Mus musculus: one gene and its partners. The protein of the gene in region 1 purifies or fractionates together with the protein of each later gene. This does not show direct contact. Links are inferred from orthologs where the notes say so. Each region holds a gene or a part of one and is shown on either strand. Other genes may lie near its edges.

Evidence for each region.
Region 2: the proteins of Polr3h (region 1) and Polr2f purify together in Homo sapiens (affinity purification with mass spectrometry; 4 studies listed by BioGRID and IntAct, with this or other methods). This does not show direct contact. The link is inferred for Mus musculus from reciprocal best matches to the Homo sapiens genes POLR3H and POLR2F.
Region 3: the proteins of Polr3h (region 1) and Polr3gl purify together in Homo sapiens (co-immunoprecipitation; 4 studies listed by BioGRID and IntAct, counting the BioPlex papers as one, with this or other methods). This does not show direct contact. The link is inferred for Mus musculus from reciprocal best matches to the Homo sapiens genes POLR3H and POLR3GL.
Region 4: the proteins of Polr3h (region 1) and Polr3c purify together in Homo sapiens (affinity purification with mass spectrometry; 5 studies listed by BioGRID and IntAct, with this or other methods). This does not show direct contact. The link is inferred for Mus musculus from reciprocal best matches to the Homo sapiens genes POLR3H and POLR3C.

Annotation. Positions count from the first base shown.
Region 1 is NC_000081.6:81,923,190-81,927,902, reverse strand, and holds the start of Polr3h (DNA-directed RNA polymerase III subunit RPC8), read left to right. Parts: upstream 1-1,689; 5' UTR 1,690-2,006; coding exon 2,007-2,117; intron 2,118-4,713.
Region 2 is NC_000081.6:79,139,407-79,144,292, reverse strand, and holds the start of Polr2f (DNA-directed RNA polymerases I, II, and III subunit RPABC2), read right to left. Parts: upstream 2,969-4,886; 5' UTR 2,879-2,968; coding exon 2,859-2,878; intron 1-2,858. Other genes in the region: 1700088E04Rik (UPF0193 protein EVG1 homolog), read left to right, coding at 3,310-3,412. UniProt on the Homo sapiens protein: DNA-dependent RNA polymerase catalyzes the transcription of DNA into RNA using the four ribonucleoside triphosphates as substrates.
Region 3 is NC_000069.6:96,591,214-96,595,876, forward strand, and holds the start of Polr3gl (DNA-directed RNA polymerase III subunit RPC7-like), read right to left. Parts: upstream 2,969-4,663; 5' UTR 2,871-2,968; intron 1-2,870. UniProt on the Homo sapiens protein: DNA-dependent RNA polymerase catalyzes the transcription of DNA into RNA using the four ribonucleoside triphosphates as substrates. Specific peripheric component of RNA polymerase III which synthesizes small RNAs, such as 5S rRNA and tRNAs.
Region 4 is NC_000069.6:96,724,472-96,729,192, forward strand, and holds the start of Polr3c (DNA-directed RNA polymerase III subunit RPC3), read right to left. Parts: upstream 2,969-4,721; 5' UTR 2,878-2,968; exon of another isoform or gene 2,642-2,877; intron 1,529-2,641; 5' UTR 1,510-1,528; coding exon 1,363-1,509; intron 1-1,362. Other genes in the region: E3 ubiquitin-protein ligase RNF115, read left to right, coding at 3,338-3,439. UniProt on the Homo sapiens protein: DNA-dependent RNA polymerase catalyzes the transcription of DNA into RNA using the four ribonucleoside triphosphates as substrates.

The DNA.
Region 1 (4,713 bases):
GACCTCCTCACACTGACCAGCGTTGCTGCCTCCTGCTGCCAGCCTGTACCTCCTCCTTTCCAGAAGGCCACATAATAACCGTTCACCCAGCTGATGTGTCACTGTGTGTCATTTCCAGGATTCCATTCCCAACACCCACATGGTGGCTCACAATTCAATGGTCCTGGGGATCAGAGGTTCTCTTCTGATTCTCTCTCTCTCTCTCTCTCTCTCTCTCTCTCTCTCTCTCACACACACACACACACACACACACACACAGATGCAGGCAAAACACTTCATATACATAGAAATGTAAAACAAGTTACTTACTGATATTATGAAGATCATTGCTAATCAATTCTTACCTCTCCTGTCAATTCCCTGAAATACTTTGTTTCTAGAAAGGCACACTGTTGTCTTACATGTGTTATGAGACTGGGTTTCTCTGTGTAGCCCTGTCTGTCCTGCAGCTTGCTTTGTAGACCAGGCTGGCCTCAAATTCGAATTCAGAGAGATCCTCCTGCCTCTGCATTCTAATTGTTTGGATGAAAGGTGTGTGCCATCAACGCCCAGCCCAAAATGCCTTATTTTTTTTCTCCTCATTTTTTTTTTGGGTGGGGGAGGGAGTGTGTTCTGTATAGCCTTGACTATCTTGTACTCTCTTGGTAGACCAGGTTTGTCTTAACTCTCAGAAATTTGACAGTCTCTGCCCCTCCCAACTGCTGGGATTAAAAGTGTGCAGCAAGAAAATTTTTCTATTTTGTTTTTTTGAGACAGGATTATTCTGTTCAGTCCTGGTTGTCCAGAAACTTGCTCTGTAGACTGGGCTGGCCTCAAACTCTGAGATCCGTTTGCCTCTGCCTCCCAAGTGCTAGGATTAAAGACGTGTGTCACCATCATTGTTAGGCACCCCCCTTTTTCTTTTTAGAAAGAGTCTCAAACAAACAAAAAGTCTTTTGTACCTCAGGCTAGACTTGAATTCACTATGTAGCTGATCTGTGTTTTTTGTTTTTTGTTTCTTTTTGGTTTTTCGAGACAGAGTTTTTCTGTGTAGCCCTGGCTGTCCTGGAACTCACTCTGTAGACCAAGCTGGCCTCGAATTCAGAAATTCGCCTGCCTCTGCCTCCCAAATGCTGGGATTAAAGGCGTGCGCCAGCACTGCCCGGCCACAGGATCTCATTTGGTAACTCAGGCTGGTCTTGAACTTGCAGTGATTGTCCAGCCTCACCCTCTCTTGCGCTGGTATTACAAGCGTGAGTCTGTTTCAGCTGTTTAAGCTTTGTGTGCTGAGCTTTGGTGAGCATATCCATCAAATGCACCACTTAAAATGACATCATCCAGGAAGGCCCGGCGACCCTTTTCTGCCCACTCTCTTGGGTACTTTGTCTGGAGTAAAGACTATTTTGAACGTGTTAAATTTGTATTTTCAAAGGGTCTATCTGGCTGTTGTGCAAAAGAAAGACAATCAGGCTTGAAGTGCAGACTTGTCGCCTAGCAACCAGACTCTCTCAGGGGCCCGGGGTTGGCTTGCTTCAGGATGGGGCCCCGCCCTTTCGGCACTCTACCCCGCCCCTCTTCTCTCACTTGCGGGAGAGTGCTGGCGGCCCCGCCCACCTTCCGGCCCCGCCCCTCACGGGAGCCTCGCGAAGCTCTGCGACCCGCAGGGGCGGGCAGATGCTTCTTATTGGTCAGTTTTCCGGAAGCTGAGTTGATTTGGTTTGGCAAGCGCAGCGTTGCTGGACGCGCGTGGCTCCCGCGCGTGGTGCGGACGGAACGAGGCCAGGGTGGCATCCGGGGACGGGGAGCCGGCGCTCCTCCAAGGCTGGCGGGAGCGGGCCTCAGTTTCCTCCGGGAGACGAGCGTAGCTTCCAGAATTGGAGCCCAGGCCCTCCCGCGCAGCTCGGCTGCAGGTTTGGCTTGTCAGAGGCTGAGAAGGGACGGAGGAGGCTCGGGTCCCCCCCACCCCATCACAGCTCGCAGGCCCCCGTGCTTGGCAGCCTCTCCGGTCTCCAGAGCCCTAGCGCAGGATGTTCGTGCTGGTGGAGATGGTGGACACCGTGCGCATACCCCCGTGGCAGTTTGAGCGGAAACTCAACGATTCCATTGCTGAGGAGCTGAACAAGAAATTGGCCAACAAGGTACTGGGCCCTCGGGCTGCCCGGCAGTGTCCCTACCGGTCCCACTGCTAGTCTGGCTATCGCCTGGTTCACCCTTGGCCTTGCACACTTAACTTCATGTCGGGGTTTTTTTCCTTCGCATCCTTATAAACCAGACTTGGGTGACAACGTGTACACAAGGGAGTAAATGGGCCGGGCGAGGTAGTGCACACCCGTAATCCGAGCTTCTTGGCTATTGAGGCTTTTTGACGATCCTGTGTTCGAGGCCAGCGTGGGCAATATAGTTAGCCCTTGACTCAGACAAATTAAAAGCACCGAAGCTGCTGGCGGTAGCGCATGCCTTTAATCCCATAACTCAGGAGGCAGAAGCAGGCGGATTTCTGTGAATTCGAGGCCAGCCTGGTCTACAGAGGGAGTGCTAGAACAGCCAAGGCTACAACGGAGAAACCCTGCCTCAAAAGAAACAAAAAGCATCAGGATGCTGAACAGTGCTTGAATTTGCTTGACATTCGCGGAGTCACTGGTTCGGTTCTCAGGATTGCCAGAAAACAAAACGGAGAGAGCGTGTGTACAAAATGGGTTTGTAAAACAGAAACTGGAATATGCCTGTTTCCTCGTTCAATTACTGTGTTGTCTTGGCCAAGTCACCCTCTCTGGGCCTCGGTTTGTGTTATCTGTGTTGCCCACAGTGTGAGAGTAGAGGTGAGAGGATAAGCGTGCGGGTCTCTAGAATTGAACTCAGCTTTCAGCTTTAGAGGGAGGCAGCTGTACCGGCTGAGCCAGCTCAGTAGCCCCTTTCTTGTATTCATTTGGTTACTGTGTTTCCCTTTCTATGACTACAGGGGCCTTCTCGGACTTTCACTCTCTCCAATGGGAGACACAGGCTCTGCCCTTGTAGCCTAGTGAGAAGAAGTTGGCTTGAGAATGTCTTGTTGTAATGAGCTGGGGTAAATGCCATGAAGGACAGGCATTCACAGAGTGGGGAACAGGGGAGTGTCACCCGGGATGAAAGAGATGGGTGACTTCTGAGGAAACAGCCATTGCTCTGAGAGCTGATGGTGGGAAGACACCAAGTAATGCCTCGGACAGGCCTTTCTGTGAACTTTTCACTTTGGGACTGTGTCCAGGCTTTTGGGCCTGTCAAGCGGGTCACTACTGGAATGGATGTAGCAAAGTAGAGAGACTCTGTTTCGATGGTTGGAGTAGGTTGGGTGTAGAGCTGTGGAGGCAGTGCATTTAGCATGTGCAAAGGTCCTGAGGCAGGAGAGGCACAGAATGCTGGTGTAGCTGGAACGGAAATGTAGACGGAAGCCAGACCACAGAGCCCTGGAGGGCCTTATAGTCCAAGCTGTTCTTTACGGGTCGGTAGGATGTGATCTTCAGAGAGCCAGAAAGAAAGAGCGAGTTTGGCTTTTACAGGAGACAGGTAGTCCCTTATAGGAGACTGAGGCCCTAGGAGAAGGTACACACACAGATCTGAGGCTTGTCACATGGAGGAGGAGAGAGCTCACTGACAATCCTTTAATTTTTTTTGAGACAATCTCACTATGTAGCCTTGGCTGGCCTGGAACTTGCTATAGTCTACGTTGCCCTTCCAATCCCAGAGAACCATCTGCCTCTGCCACCCAGGTGCTAGGATTGAAGGTGCGTGTCACACCCAGTCTTAGTTGCTGCACTAGTGCTGTGAGGAAATACCATGAGCAAGGTGACAAGAGAAAGCATTTTACTGGGGGCTTACTGTTGCGGAGGTTGTCCTTCAGCATTGTGGTGGAAGCGTGCTGGCACACGTGGTGTTGGAGTAGGATCTGAGAGCTATGTCCTCCACTGCCAAGGGAGTAACGCTCGCCTGCTGTGGGTCTGTGAAACCTTAAAGCCCACTCCCACTGACACAAGAAGGCCATACCTTCTTTCTAATCTTTCTCAAGTTGTGTCCCTCTCCGATGACTTAAGCATTCACATTTATGGGCCTGTGGAGGTCACACTTAGTCAGCCATGACATCCAGGTCTGTCTGTCTGTGTCTGTCTGTCTGTCTTGTCTTTCTTTTTTTCTTTCTTTCATTACATGGATTTATTTTGAATGTGGGTGTATATACCACAGCACACATGAATAGGCCACGGCACAGCTCATAAGGAGAAAGGGGTCCTGGGATCTACCTTGACTGCTGAACCATTTTGCCAATACCATCTCCCCACATCTCATGGGACTTGAATTCACTTTACATCCACTGTGTAACCAAAGATGGCTTTGGACTTCGGATACCCCTGCCTCCCCCTCTCAGCTGCAGGGATTACAGGCAGAGATCACCATGCCCGGGTGAGGTCAGTTCACTGGATCCTGAGAGAGAAACCTCCACAGATGACGACTGCTGGGAGCTCTGCCCCAGCTCTGAAGTGCTCTAGTCCCTGAGCAGCTCTTGTGAGGGCTGTGGCTAGGGGTAATATTGGTGGTAGACATGTAGACACTGAGCCAAGTCATTTAGAACACCAGGGTGTGTTAACACCAAGCTGTGTGGGCTTCTGGTCTGCGGAAGTGCTTTGGCCACATATCCCTGTCTGTGTGTCTGAGGCGGTGTGAGAGTGATGGAGTTCTCAACACTTCCTGGCTGTGATCTGGGGC
Region 2 (4,886 bases), about 2.8 Mb from region 1:
AGTGCGCCTGGAAGCCAGAAGAGGGTGTGGGAGCCCCCGAAGCCGGAGTTGTCTGCCTGGTTTTACTCCCTGGGAAACCAGCCAAGTGTGGTTAACCTCTGCGCCATCCCCCTCGTCATGAAGACAGTTTCAGCCTCTCATAAGGACATAAGGAGAGAAATATAAACGTGCCAGGGTGGTAGCACACTCCTGTACTCCTAGCATTTGGAAATGGGAAGTGAGAGAACTAGGAGTTTGAGCCCAGCCTGGGCTACATAGTGAGATTTTGTCTCAAGAACAAAAACAAGTGAAGTGTACTTCAGGGCTGGAGCTGTAACTCAAAAGTAGGGTGTGTAGACAGCATGCATGAAGCCGCTGGCACTCACAGCACCAGCACACTACCAGCATCACCTCCCCCTCTTAAAAACAAACAAACAACACACCATTATTCTTTCCCCTCCTGCTACAGCTTAATTCCATATTCCCTTATGGTGGAGAAAACAAACAAACAAACAAACAAACAAAACTACATAAGACCAAGGTGACATTGCCATTTTCATAGCCTAAGGTCACCAGGCTTCTAAAAACATGCTTATTTATTGCTAACGTGCACATGATGCGTGCTCGCGTACAGGCCCACATACACCACCAAGACTCCCTTTTCTGTTCTCTCCTTCTACCAGGGGCTCTAGGGATCAAACCTAGGTTGTTAGGCTCGGGCAGCAAAACTTTCACCTTTAGCCCCTCCTCCATCTCATCAGCCTCCCGTGGTGCACAATGTCTGAGGGAGCTGCCCAAACTCGCTGTCTCCAATTCTTCACTTCCCGAGTCAGAGCCTCACCTCAGTAAGGCTTTCGCCACACCCTCAAGCTCCACAGCCATCCTTCCTGTGCTCACTGATCATCGCACCCCACAACCTCCCCATTGAAAAGTGTCTCTTTGGGCTGGTGAGATGGCTCAGTGGGTAAGGGCACCCGACTGCTCTTCCGAAGGTCTGAAGTTCAAATCCCAGCAACCACATGGTGGCTCACAACCACCCGTAATGAGATCTGGTGCCCTCTTCTGGTGTATCTGAAGACAACTACAGTGTACTTACATATAGTAAATAAATAAATCTTTAAAAAAAAAAGGGGCTGGTGAGATGGCTCAGTGGGTAAGAGCACCCGACTGTTCTTCCAAAGGTCCAGAGTTCAAATCCCAGCAACCACATGGTGGCTCACAACCATCTGTAACGAAATCTGACGCCCTCTTCTGGTGTGTCTGAAGACAGCTACAGTGTACTTACATGTAATAAATAAATAAATCTTTAAAAAAAAAAAAAAAAAAAAAAAGAAAAGTGTCTCTTTGTGCTGCCTGGCTGTCCTGGAACTCACTCTGCAGACAAGGCTGGCCTGGAACTCACTCTGCAGACAAGGCTGGCCTGGAACTGAGAGATTCCCCCCCCCCCCCCCAAGTCTCTGCCCTGAGTGCTGGAATCAAAGGCTTGCACCACCCCCAGCTTCACTAAGGATCTTTACAATGCTGAACCCTTCCCCTGGACAGCCAGCATACCTGGCTCCTCCCTCCTGCCTCCCACTCTGGGGGAGGGGATGCTTTTCTGGGTTCTCTTCCCCCCAAGTCACTCACTCACCATCTCTTCTCTGGTGGCAATCACTGCCCTGGTCAACGCCGTCATCTCTGCTTTCATTGCATTTTTGACTGTATTTTGTATGCTTGTTTTGAAGTCAATCTTACTGCACAGTATGTAACTCAGGCTGGCCTGAGACTCACTATGTTGACATCTAGTTCAGGACAATTCCCCTGCAGTAGCCTCCCAAGTGCTAGGATTACAGGTGTGAACCACCACGCCCAGACTCTGAATTCTGACTGATCTATCAGGACTACCATAGTTCATCTTCTCTCTTGATTAACATATACAGCGTATCAAGAAATCCTTTAGGTTCTATCTTTAAAATATATCAGGATCCAGGCATGGTGGCGCACGCCTGTAATCCAGTGCTCAGGAGGTGAAAGCAGGCAGATCTCTGTAAGTTTGAGGACAGCCAAATCTACACAGTGACTTCCAGACACAGCTAGGACTATGTTGAAAGACTCTGTCTCAGGAAAAAAAAAAAAAAAAAAGAACAAAAATCACCTGGAAAGCAGAGGTAGATGAATCTCTATGTTCGAACCACCTGATATAAGGTTATATTTGGTCTCCAAATAAATAAAATAAAAATATGTCCAGCCGGGTGGTGGTGGCGCACGCCTTTAATCCCAGCACTTGGGGAGGCAGAGGTGGGTGAATTCCTGAGTTCAGCCTGATCTACAAAAGTGAGTTCCAGGACAGCCTGGGCTATACAGAGAAACCCTGTCTCGGAAAAAAAAAAAAAAAATGTCCATAATCCAGCTGGGTCTGGTGGTTCATGCCAGATATATCAACACTTGGGAAGCTGAAGCAGAGGACTGTGTCGAATTCAAAGCCAGCCTTAGCTATATAGTGAATTCCCGGGCAGCCTGGGTTTCAGAGTGAGGCCTTGCCTCAAACAACACTAAACTTCATGCTCTCTAGAGTCTATCCCCACTTCTGCCACCTCTGCTACTATCACACCTAGCCCAAGCCCGCGTCTGCTCCCAGCCTTCCAGGCCATTCTCTGGGTTGCTTTTTCCTTCCTACTTCCACGACTACACAAGCTACACACCTCTGGCATTCCCTTCCAGAAAGAGAGCGCTCAGAGGACAGGGGCCACACGGACTGAACTCTCTGACCACTGTCCCCATTGCTCCGCGAGGTAGGAAGTTCTGAAGACTTCGCCCCACCAACCCAGCAGCTGGGCTAGCCTGTGCTCCAAGAGCCCTGCTCGCACCACGACCTCCCTCCTTCCGTGGCCCGTGCTCACTTGTCCTCGTTGTCTGACATGATGCCTTCTCCGCCCGGGGCGCAGAGCAGAGAACGCGCGCCTTTGCCCCTCGCCGCACCACGCGTAGTTTGCGCTTGCGCCGTGACCCAGGCGCAGTTACTTCCGGGAAGCAGCGGCCGACCAGACGCTAATGCGCGTGCGTGGAGGCGTGTCGCTAGTTACCATGGTAACAAGGAGCGATTAGTGAGGACGCTGACACTCTAGCTCCTTGGAGTTTCTCCGTGCGGAGGGCTCTGTCACGCCCAGGTCATCGCCTAAGGTGAGCGCTCCTCCCCGGACCGTCACGATAGGGACTGTGGTCACTGCGCTGTCCGGAGCCGAGGGGTCGGGCACCAGCTTCTCAGACTCCCAGGTTGCTCGTGATGAGAGGTCCGGATTGCGAAGCGTAACTAGGGCGAGTCATTGCTTCTCTCCCTCCTAGGGCCCTCCCATGGCTTCCCAGGAAAGGGTGGACTCGGTGACCAAAGGAACCGGGTTCCGCCGCTGCCGTAAGCAAGCAGGTTACACGCCGGGGACTTGTGAGCTGCTCAGAGGTCAGTGCATTAGGGGATCAACGACCCGAGCGGTGCGGTTTTTCCTTAAGAGCTTGGGATTCTGAAAGGTTCGGGGAAGAATCAAAGACCAGAGATGGAGAATTTTGGAATGGTTAGTTCATCTTTTACATGCACTTTCAATGAAGCCTATCTCCTCACTGCAGTGGGACCTTCACAGTACCAAATTCAATTCCCTTCACCAGGCTTAGACATTATACAGTCTTAGAGGTGTTTAGTGTCACCTTCTAAATGGTGAACACCACCAGGCAAAGAAACGTGCCTGTTTCTGCTCACAACTGTAGCTCCAGCCTCTGCTACATGAATGAGCATGTATGCACTTAATTATTCAACGACAAAAACCTAATGTGTGATTTGGATATTGTCCTAGGTACTAGGAATAGAGTGTTGAGAGGATTGCAAAGGACAACTCTTGCTCTCAGAAAACTGATAACACAGGAGGGTAACAAGAAAAATGAACAGGAGAAAATTATAGAGCTGAAGGTGTTGCTCAGTGACAGAGTATATTCTAGGCAGATGTGGAGTCTGGGTTTCAGCCCCAGCACACCATACACAAAAAAGTCTGTGTGTGTTACAGTTGGAGAGCTGGCTCAGTGGTTAGGAACATGTACTGCCCTTTGAAAGCTCATTCCCCAGCACCCATGTTAGCCAGTCACCAAAAAAGTGTGTGTGTCTTAGGCATATGTAATGGGAGGATTGCCTGAGCCCAAGAAAAGCTAGCCTAGATAATATAGTAAGAACCTATCCTTGAAATAAAATAAGGACTGGAAAGATGGCTCAGAGATTAAGAGCACTGGCTATTCTCAAGGACCCAAGTTCAATCCCCCACAACCATATCAGGTGGGTCAAAGCAATGTGTAACTCTAGCTTCCTATGAGTCAGTGCCTTTCCCTGCCCTCCACAGGCAGCCATACACGCATAGCTACACACTCACGCACGCGCGCGCGCACACACACACACACACACACACACACACACGACCTTTTATTTTTTAAGATTTGTTTGTTTATTTATTATGGATAGTGTTCGGCCTGCATGTATGCCTGCAGGCCAGAAGAGGGCACCAGATCCCATTACAGATGGTTGTGAGCTTCCACGTGGTTGTTGGGAATTGAACTCAGGACCTCTGGAAGAGCATCATATATGCTCTTGATATGTGAGTCATCTCTCCAGCCCACATACAATCTTAAAGGGAGAAAAGCTGCATATAGTGGCTCATGTCTTTGATTCTAGCACTCTGAAGAAAGAGGTGGGTGAGTCTTTGTGAGTTAGAGGCTTGCCCAATGTACATACCAAATTTCAGGACAGCCAGGCTACAAAGTGAGACCGTTTCTATAAATAAACAAATAAATAAAAAGAGAAATAAAAAAAGATAAATTAATGAATAAATACAAGAAAAGGAAAAGAACCTTAAGTGACAGGCACTCTAAAGAAGATGGAGTAGGCAGAGGAGTGG
Region 3 (4,663 bases), on another chromosome or scaffold:
TGGTCTAATAATAGATGATAAAAACCACAAACCAAAAACAGCCTGGTTTTAATCCCAGCACTCAGGAGGCAGAAGCAGGCAGAAATCTAGAGTTTGAGGCCAGCCTGGTCTACAGAGTGAGTTCCAGGACAGCCAAGGCTACACAGAGAAACAGACTGTCTAGAAAAACCAAAAACCAAACCAAAACAAAGGTGGAGAGATGCCTCAGTGGTTAAGAGCACTGACTGCTCTTCCAGAGGTCCTGAGTTCAACTCCCAGCAACCACATGGTGGCTCACAACCATCTGTAATGGGATCTGATGCCCTCTTCGGGTGTCTGAAAAACAGCTACAGTGAGCTCACATAAATATAATAAGTGCATCTTTAAAAAACAAAACAAAAAAGCAAAACCCAACAACAACAACAACATCCAGAACAAATAACAAAAACCCCCAAACAAGCCATTTTCAAGGGAGGAGGTTAATAATATGGAGTGTTTAGGGGTGAAGGAGACTACAATATAAAGTCATATTTATCTGTTGTTGTTGTTTTTTTAATGTTTTCATTCTTGATACAAAATTGAATTTATAGTGTGGCTCTATTTACTTATAAAACAAAAAGTTTTGCATATATACAGAATAAACTGAGAGTACATATGTCTAAATACTAGTATCAGGGGCAGGCAAGATGGCTCAGCAGATAAAGTCAGTGCCAGTCCAAGAACCTGAGTCCCATCCCTGGAACCAACTAAGGTGCAAGGGAGACATAACCTTACAAAGCTGTCCTCTGACGCTGACATGCATGCGGTGGCACCAGTGTGCAAGTACATAAAATAACAATAAAGTTTAAAGTTGTAAAATACTAATTACCATCATTATTACCTTAGGGCTATGAAATAATGCACACTCTTATATTACTATGTGTTTGAAAGTTGTGTGGAATAAATGTATATCCTACAATCAACAAGTAAAAAGGATGCTTCGTTTTCAAGAATGCAGGGGAAATCTGGAGAATGGTTCAGTGGCTCAGAGCACTGGCTGCTCTCCCAGAGGACTTGGGATTCGATTCCCCGGGACCCACACAGGGACTCACAGCTGTCTGTAACCCGTCCCAGGGAACCCAACACCCTTTTCTGCCTTCTGAGGGTTTCAAGCACACAAGTGGTACAAAGACTCACATGCAGACCAAACGCCCACCCACACACAAGAATTCAGAGGACGAGTGGGTGCTATAGCTCAGTGGTGGAACCCTACTTAGCAAATCACTAGGGCCTCAATTCAATCCCCAGTTAAAGAAAATAAGCAAACCCTCACAACAACAACAACAGCAACAACACACTCGCTTAGCAGAAAGCCTTGGGCCAAGCCTGTCATTCAGAAATTTCAATTCATCTTTGGTTCCATGGTGAGTTTGGGGCCAGCCTGACCTCCACATATGCACCATGGTACACACTCCACCCAGGCCCACTAATAATAAGTAAGTTTAAGTTGAATAAATTCAAAGGAAAAAGTGAAAGAGTGGACCGACCTGAAAAGAGCTAGTGAGTTCTCTTCCTAAAGATGCTGTTTCAGAGCTAGGGGTGTAGTTCAGGGGCAGAATGAATGCTTAGCATTTGTAAGACCGGACTCACATTTCTCAATTTAAAAGAAAAAAGCTTATTTGGGGTGCAGTGGTACAAGCCTGTTATCCCAGAAAGGGTGAGGCAGGAGGGTCATAAGTTGGAGGTCAGCCTGTTTGCCCTGCATAGAAAGAACTGGTTTCGAAAATATTTTCCCACATACTAAATAACAATTTATTGAATAGATGTTATCAGAGGGTTCATTGTGATCCCGGTTGTCTAGCACTGTGTCTGCTATGTAGTAGGTTCTCAGTAAATATCTGTCTTTTGAACATGTGTCTACAGACTCTGTGAGTCACAAAGACTCCCTTCTGGTTCTTTTTGTTGTTTTCCTTCTCTGGTCTGAGAATAACTATAAAACATTAATGCAATAAACCACCAGTTCAAAGACCCCTAATTATATAATGTTGTCTTTTATTGTTCCCTAATTATATCAGGAGTTTAAATTTGTCCTCCTTGACAAGAGCACTGGTTCCCACAAATCAATTCCACTCGATTAACGCTTACTGAACACAATGTATTAAGTACCCCAATCTGTCCCATCAAACCTTCCGTTCATAGAATAGAAACAGTGAAAGAGAACATATAATCCTAACACCGGGGGTACTGTGGCAGGGGGAATGCAAACTGGAGGCCAGTATGGGCTACATAGCAAGAGTCTGCCGATAAAAGCATGGGAGGGATGGAAAAAGTCAGCCTCGTGAGATGGTAAATACTCGTGTTGCCAAGTGGCCAGGAAACAGGCTGACTAGCTCAAGTTGTCCTCTGACCTCCTTGCGTAAGCCATGGCTTGTACGTACCCCCCCCACACACACACAAATAATGTAATTTTAAAAATTAAAGAGATTCCAATAGTGATAATCGGACTTTGTCAGGTCGGGGATCAATAAATTCTTCACGGTGGTCTAGGAAAGTGGTGGGTAGAGGGTAGCGGTTCAGTTGACTTGATAGGTAATAAGAATCTGTCAGGCTCTTGACAGGGGGCTAATGTTACGTTAATGGGTGCGGGAGAAGCTGGTACCATAGAAGAGTCTGAGCTACAAGAATGAACCTTCCTCTCCTGCTTTAATATCTGTCCCCAGGCGCGACAGCAAGCTGTCTCCGGCGTACAGTCAAGACAGCAGTGAGAGCCCGGGGAAAAAGGGGAGGGATTTAGAAGGGGGCTGATCCAACAGGCTGACAGAAAGCGTTATCTACGTCGCTGTCGGCGCCGAGGGACTAATTCGGGAAGTACCGAACCAAACCGGGTCAGAGCCACCAGGTCGAAGCCTTACCTGCCGTCCCTCCCCCACTCAGGGCCCACGCAGCCGCCAACTTGAAATTTGCTTTTCTTCTTCCAGCCCTCGTTCTAGGCCCGCCTCCCCGAGCTCTCCATTGGTGGGTTTTCCTGGCCAATCGACGAGAGCGGAGGCGGGCGAGGAGGGGAGGAGGAGGGAGCGAGCTTAACCGGAACTGAGGCTTGGGAAGTGGCGCGCTGAGACCTGGGGCTGCAGAATTCACCTCTTATGCCCAGACCGAACTAGATGGCTAAGATGTCCTGCTACTCAGAGCTCATCCAGACACGTGGCGGAGCCAGAAGAGGAGAACCGCTGCTGGGAAATGTAGCCCTGGGTCAGAGAAACCAGACTGCTCATCTGTTAACAGCTGTGCCTGCAGGAGTTCCCAGAAACACTCCAGGAGGTTCCCAACTACCGGACTCCAGCGCCCTCTTCTGGCTTAGGCCATCACACACACACACACACACACACACACACACACACACACACACACACACCACACACACACCACACACACACACACACACACACACACCACACACACACACACACACACACACACACACACACACACCACACACACACACACACCACACACACACACACACACACACACACACCACACACACACCACACACACACCACACATCACACACACACACACCACACATCACACACACACACACACACACACACACACACACACACACACCACACATCACACACACACACACACACACACACACACACACACACACACCACACATCACACACACACACACACACACACAGAGAAACACTCCAGGAGGTTCCCAACTACCGGACTCCCGCGCCCTCTTCTGGCTTAGGCCATCACATACACACCACACACACCACACACACACACACACACATACCACACACACCCTCTTTATTATTCTTCCTCAGTCACCAGCACTACTAATAAATAATCTTTAAAAGATTTTTTTTCTCTAAAGGCAGGGTCTGGCTACCCAGTCTAGGCTGGCCTTGAACTCTTGATACTCTTGACTCTGCTACCAAGCTCAGGCCCCAAATGCGGATTGTTGCGGTGTCTGAGAAGTGAGGGAGAGAAGGGGGCTTGGGACCAGAGCAGTAATTGGGGAGAGAAGGCAGGAACCCAGTGGGTTTTTTCTTTCTGTACTTTCCACTGCCCTTCAAGCCCCTTCAAGGAAAGAGGGCAGAATAGAAAGAGTCATTTTTTTTACAGAGTAGAAGTAAAGGGAAATACTTCAGGATGGATGTAAAACTAGGAGTCAGTCAACAAGAATATGACAGAGGTCAGAGAAAATGGCCTCTAGACTGGGAAGTTGCATGTGGATGACACATACTCCGTTTTTGGAATAGTATAAAAACATAGCTGTAGCGCTTTGGGGGAACTTGCTTAACCTCATTATCATTTGTTGCAGGAAGACAATAGTTCCCCCCTCATTGAGTTGTGAGGGTTGGAGATGATGTATGTATGCACATCTCTCGGCACACATCAATAGCTAATAAAAGTGGGTGATTTCCCTCCGGCTGTTTCTCCTCCTTTCCCAGGAACGTGACTTTTTGTATCTGTACTTGGTGGCGTCCACCATTTGAGTCCTCTAAGACCCTCGGTGAGCTTTCCAAACCCTTAATACCCATCCGATGCCCCCACTTTCCTTGGTACCTTCCAGCTGGACACAAACTCATCCCTAAACTATGCAGATGGAAGCCTTGGTAACCATGGAGACAGGGCAGGTGGCACGGAGAGGCAGAGGCAGTGAGCAACAGATAGGAAGAGATGA
Region 4 (4,721 bases), on another chromosome or scaffold:
GTGATGTTCCTATTATGTCTGATTTTTTTTTTTTTTTTTTTTTTTTTGGTTTTTCGAGACAGGGTTTCTCTGTGTAGCCCTGGCTGTCCTGGAACTCACTCTGTAGACCAAGCTGGCCTCGAACTCAGAAATCCGCCTGCTTCTACCTCCCAAGTGCTGGGATTAAAGGCCTGTGTGCCACCACGCCCGGCTTATTTTGTCTGATCTTTATCTTTCTTCTAGTTTTCTGTTTTGAATGTGGTTCTCCTGGAGCCCAGGGAAGCCTTACACTTGTTGTGTATCTGAGGGTGACCTTGAACTTCCCAGCCCCTCCTTTCAAGTCGTGGGATCATAAACATAAACACACCCAGTTCTATACAGTGTTGGAGATCAAAGCAGGACATTTTAGCTGCTATGCAGTGTGAATGGTCTTTGCTACTTTGTGGGTTCTTCTTTTTCCCACCCTTGATACTCCCTTCCCACTCCCATCCCCACCCGGGTTTCACCCTCTAACACTTCATAAGAGAGAAACAAGGAGGAATTAGGAAAATCCCTGAATTTAATTTCTTTCGTTTCTTCTTTGACCAACACTACTAGTAAATCACAACTTCCCTAAATGACCACCAACCCCCCGACTCCACATATTGGGGCTGGCATTTATACACACTCTGAAAAGTTCCCAGAATCCCAGACACTGCACAATCACAGGAACTATCTATAGCTGGCAGAACCATGCCTCTGCTAGAACATGAGGCAAATCATAGACAGTCTGAAGCAGCCCCATATCTGCATACTTGGGATTAAAATGAAAAAATATTCTTATAATATTTTTGTATTTTTTGTTTGTTTGTTTTTTTGAGACAGGGTTTCTCTGTGCAGCCCTGGCTGTCCTGGAACTCACTCTGTAGACCAGGCTGGCCTCGAACTCGGAAATCCACCTGCCTCTGCCTCCCGAGTGCTGGGATTAAAGGCGTGCGCCACCACGCCCGGCTCTATTTTTGTATTTTTAAAGAAACCAAAATCCTCAAACTGTCACTACAATGTAGTCACTCTACCAACTGAGCTACATTCTGGGCCAGGATGGGCAGCCCAGCTTACTTTGTTCTATCACTGTATTCCTTAAAGGCCATACCCCACCAGTAGACTTACTGTGAATAAATGAGTGTGGCATGGGAACAGCCAAGATGAGCTAGGAACACCACAAGCGGCAGTACACGGGGCCTAAGTACAATACCACACCCCACCCCACCCACTGTGGTACTGACCACAGGGCAGACGGTCTCTGTTCATACTTTCTAGGGGAAGGAGTTCTCCTGTCCAAAGGTACTTGAAGGAAATGATTGAAGAAGTTGAAGAGGAACAGACTCTCTTATCTAAACATACCTGGTCCAGGGATGCTTTTGTGTCGTGGGCAATTACTCTAAGTGGCTGGCTTCCAGTTCTGACTAGGTGGACTCCAATTTTTTCTACAATCTCACCAAAATGCTCTTGCAGCAACAAAGAACACAGTTTAATCTCTGCTTGAGTCATCGTTCTTAGAGCCTCAGAACTAGGAAAGAACAACAATATAAATTCACATATTTTTTTTCTAGAGGGCAACTTGACAATATAAATCAAACCCTCTATATATTAAGGCATATATTTGCCTTAATATTTATAAGTTGAGATCCTTTGTTCCAAGGATGTAGTAAAAACCATGCCATGAGTTCTCTTCACAATACTGGCATTGACATAAATAATCTAGCATCTATCAATAAATTATAGTATAACCTTAAGAGAGTATACTATGCCAACATTTAAAATGACTTCATACAATATAACTACCATAAAATATTCCTAATGTGTTGTCATTTAGTAATTGCAATGGTCAGATATGATGGTGTACACTGCCTGTAATTCTTGCACACAGGAGACCAAAGTCAAAGAATCAATAGTTCCAGGTCAACCTGGGCACAAAGTGAGTTCAAAGCCAGCCTGTGTTATACAGCAAGACTCTGGTGGGTAATACACCCACCACCCACCAAAACAAAGAACTAGAAAACTAGACATCAAATTTGTTTTCTAAAGCCAGGTATGGTGGTGCAAGCCTACAATTTCAGCACTTAGGAGGTGGAAGTATGAGGGTCAGGAGCTCATGGTTACATATTGAGTTCAAAACCAGGTTGGCTACATGAGATCCTATTAAAATTAAAAAAAAAAAAAAAAAAAAGGCAAGCCATCCTCCCCTATATATGCCATTTATTTTAATGGGAATATATGTGGTTTGTGGTTCCAATAATCTTTAAAGACTGGATTCATCTCGGTATGGTGGCTAACATCTGTATTTCCAGCACTAAAGCTAGAAGACTGTCATAAACTGAAGGCCAGCCTGGGCTACATAATAAATACCAAGCAAATCTGGTCCAGAGTGAGACCTTTAAAAGCAAAGGGGGAGGGAAAGTGCGAATAACTTTCTGTCACAGATACAAAGACCTAAGGCTCATGACCCAGTGGGGTACAACTTATTCCCAAGCCATAAACCACGACTTAGATAGATAAAGTAAAAAAAGAGCTTCTTAGGGTATTTCAATTAGGAGATGAAGTTATGTTCCATTGAGAACCATATTAAATTTTTACATCATGAGACACAAGCAGGAATGGGTGTAGTTGATTTTGAAATTACCTCCCTATCACAAGCTCCAACTCTCTCGAACCTAAATTTTTGTCCCTCTTGCCACAGTGTCGCAGAGAAGACTATTTCACTTAGCCACACACACGTCTTTGGAGAAACATCCTTAGACCAGTTGCCATCCTTGAATGCATTTCCTGGCTCCTCTCCCTTCATGCAAGTTTCTGTTCCGGACTTTGTTTCTTGGCCCTGAGTCAGGGCCTCCTCATTCCGGCAGCGTTTTCACTAACCTCAGGGTCGGGGCTAATTTAGAAGCTCCAAATGTTGTCCTCCCGAGGCCAGCAGCCTCAGCTCATGAGCTTCCCATCGCCCCTTCTTAGAAGTAGAGCACCATCCAGGCGGACGCGGAAGGGTCAGAGCACGGGCCGCTCTAGCCGACAGTGTCGGTGGTTTCCGGGGACGCTCTTTCTCTCCTCTCGTTGGGAGGCTGGAGGACCGGCCAGGGGCTGTCTGAGGTGCCGGCGGGCGGGCTCTCCTCTGCCTTTGGTGCCGGGAGGCGGGCCTCGGGTCGCGTGGCCGCTGGCGGGCGGGCCTCTCGGGGCCGGGCGGACTCACGTGACCCTTGCGGGCCTCGGAGCGGCGGGCCGCCCAGAGGAGGCGGCGACGGCGGTGGCGACCGCAGCACGGGAGGTAGCGGCCTGGGGAGGGACCGCCGGCCGCCCTTTCGGACATCCTCGGCGGAGGCGAAACATGGCGGAGGCCTCGGCGGCGGGGGCGGACGCGGGCTCCGCTGTCGCCGCACACCGTTTCTTCTGCCACTTTTGTAAGGGCGAGGTCAATCCCAAACTACCGGTAAGAGCCCCGTGTGTCCCGCGCTCCGGCGCCGCGTAGGTCCTTGGCTCCTAGGGCTGGAAACCGGGTCTTAGGCTGCCCGCACACCCGTGATTCCCTTGACACCGGTGTTCTCGGTACCTGCTGCCCGCTGTCTCCGGGCACTGGTCGCAAACCCTGGGCATCAGGGCCAGGGTCCTGCCTATCCCTCATTTCCGCGGCGTCTCCAATCAGCCCCTCATTTCGCTTCCGCTCTTTAATACCACCCCCATCTTTTTTTGTCTCCTCGGTGAATTCTCGGGCAAATCTGCGTCCAATTTGCTCTCAGTCCCCTTCCTTGTCTTTTCGCGATGACCTATCCCCTGTACTCTTTCCGTTTTTGCGGCTCACCTACTCTTTATTTTTCTTCCCACTTCTCAACCAGATCCTCCCCCCTTCTGCATCCTCAGTGAGCCGAAATAGCATATTGCTGAGGACTTCTTAGTAGGTTTTGTTGAAGTACAGAAAGAGGAGGTTTGGAAGGTAACAGGGAAGAGGGAGATTTTGTTCTTCAGTGGTTTTTGGGTTCTTGTGAAAGTGAAAATAGCAGTGTACCAATGACTTGCAGACTGCGCTCCCTGTTGCTATCGAAGGAAATGGCTTTGGGAAGAAGGTAGGACGTACTGTCTCAACTTATTTTGGATATCACGTTGCCAGTGTCTTTAGCTCCACTTTCCTAGCCCACCCCCTCCATTTTTTTTTTTTTTCTGCCCAGGAAAACAAAAAAAGAACAGAATGTTGGGACTGCTTTCTCTGATATAAAATTGGCTCTGCCAGGCTGTCAGCCAATAGAGAGGTAGGGCTATGCTTTAAGAAAAGGTTTCTGCAGCATGCTAGCCAGTGCCAGCGCCCCCAATTATAATAAGCCTTTTTCTTGTTCGGTGGCGACATTTCTTAAAACGAGTGGCTATGTCATAATTTATTTTATAATCACAGTATCTTGAATACATGGTGTCTTTCTGTTTTTTGTTTGCTTTTTGCACCAAAGTCTCACCATGTTGTCCTGGCTGTCCTGGAACTTGCTTATTCGGATCAGGCTGGCCTAGAGCTCACAGAGGTCTGTCTGCTTCTGCCTTCCTAGGGTTGGGATTAAAAGTGTGCACCGCCATTCCTGGCTTTGAATACACTCTTAAGAGAAGGCCGACTAAGTTTCTGTGTCATAATTAGCTATATCTACTGTGGGTTGGTTTCATTTGCTGCCTTTGCTTTATGCTGATGTGCTGTCTGCCATATTTCAACTTGGGAAAGTTTTTTCCCCCAGCAT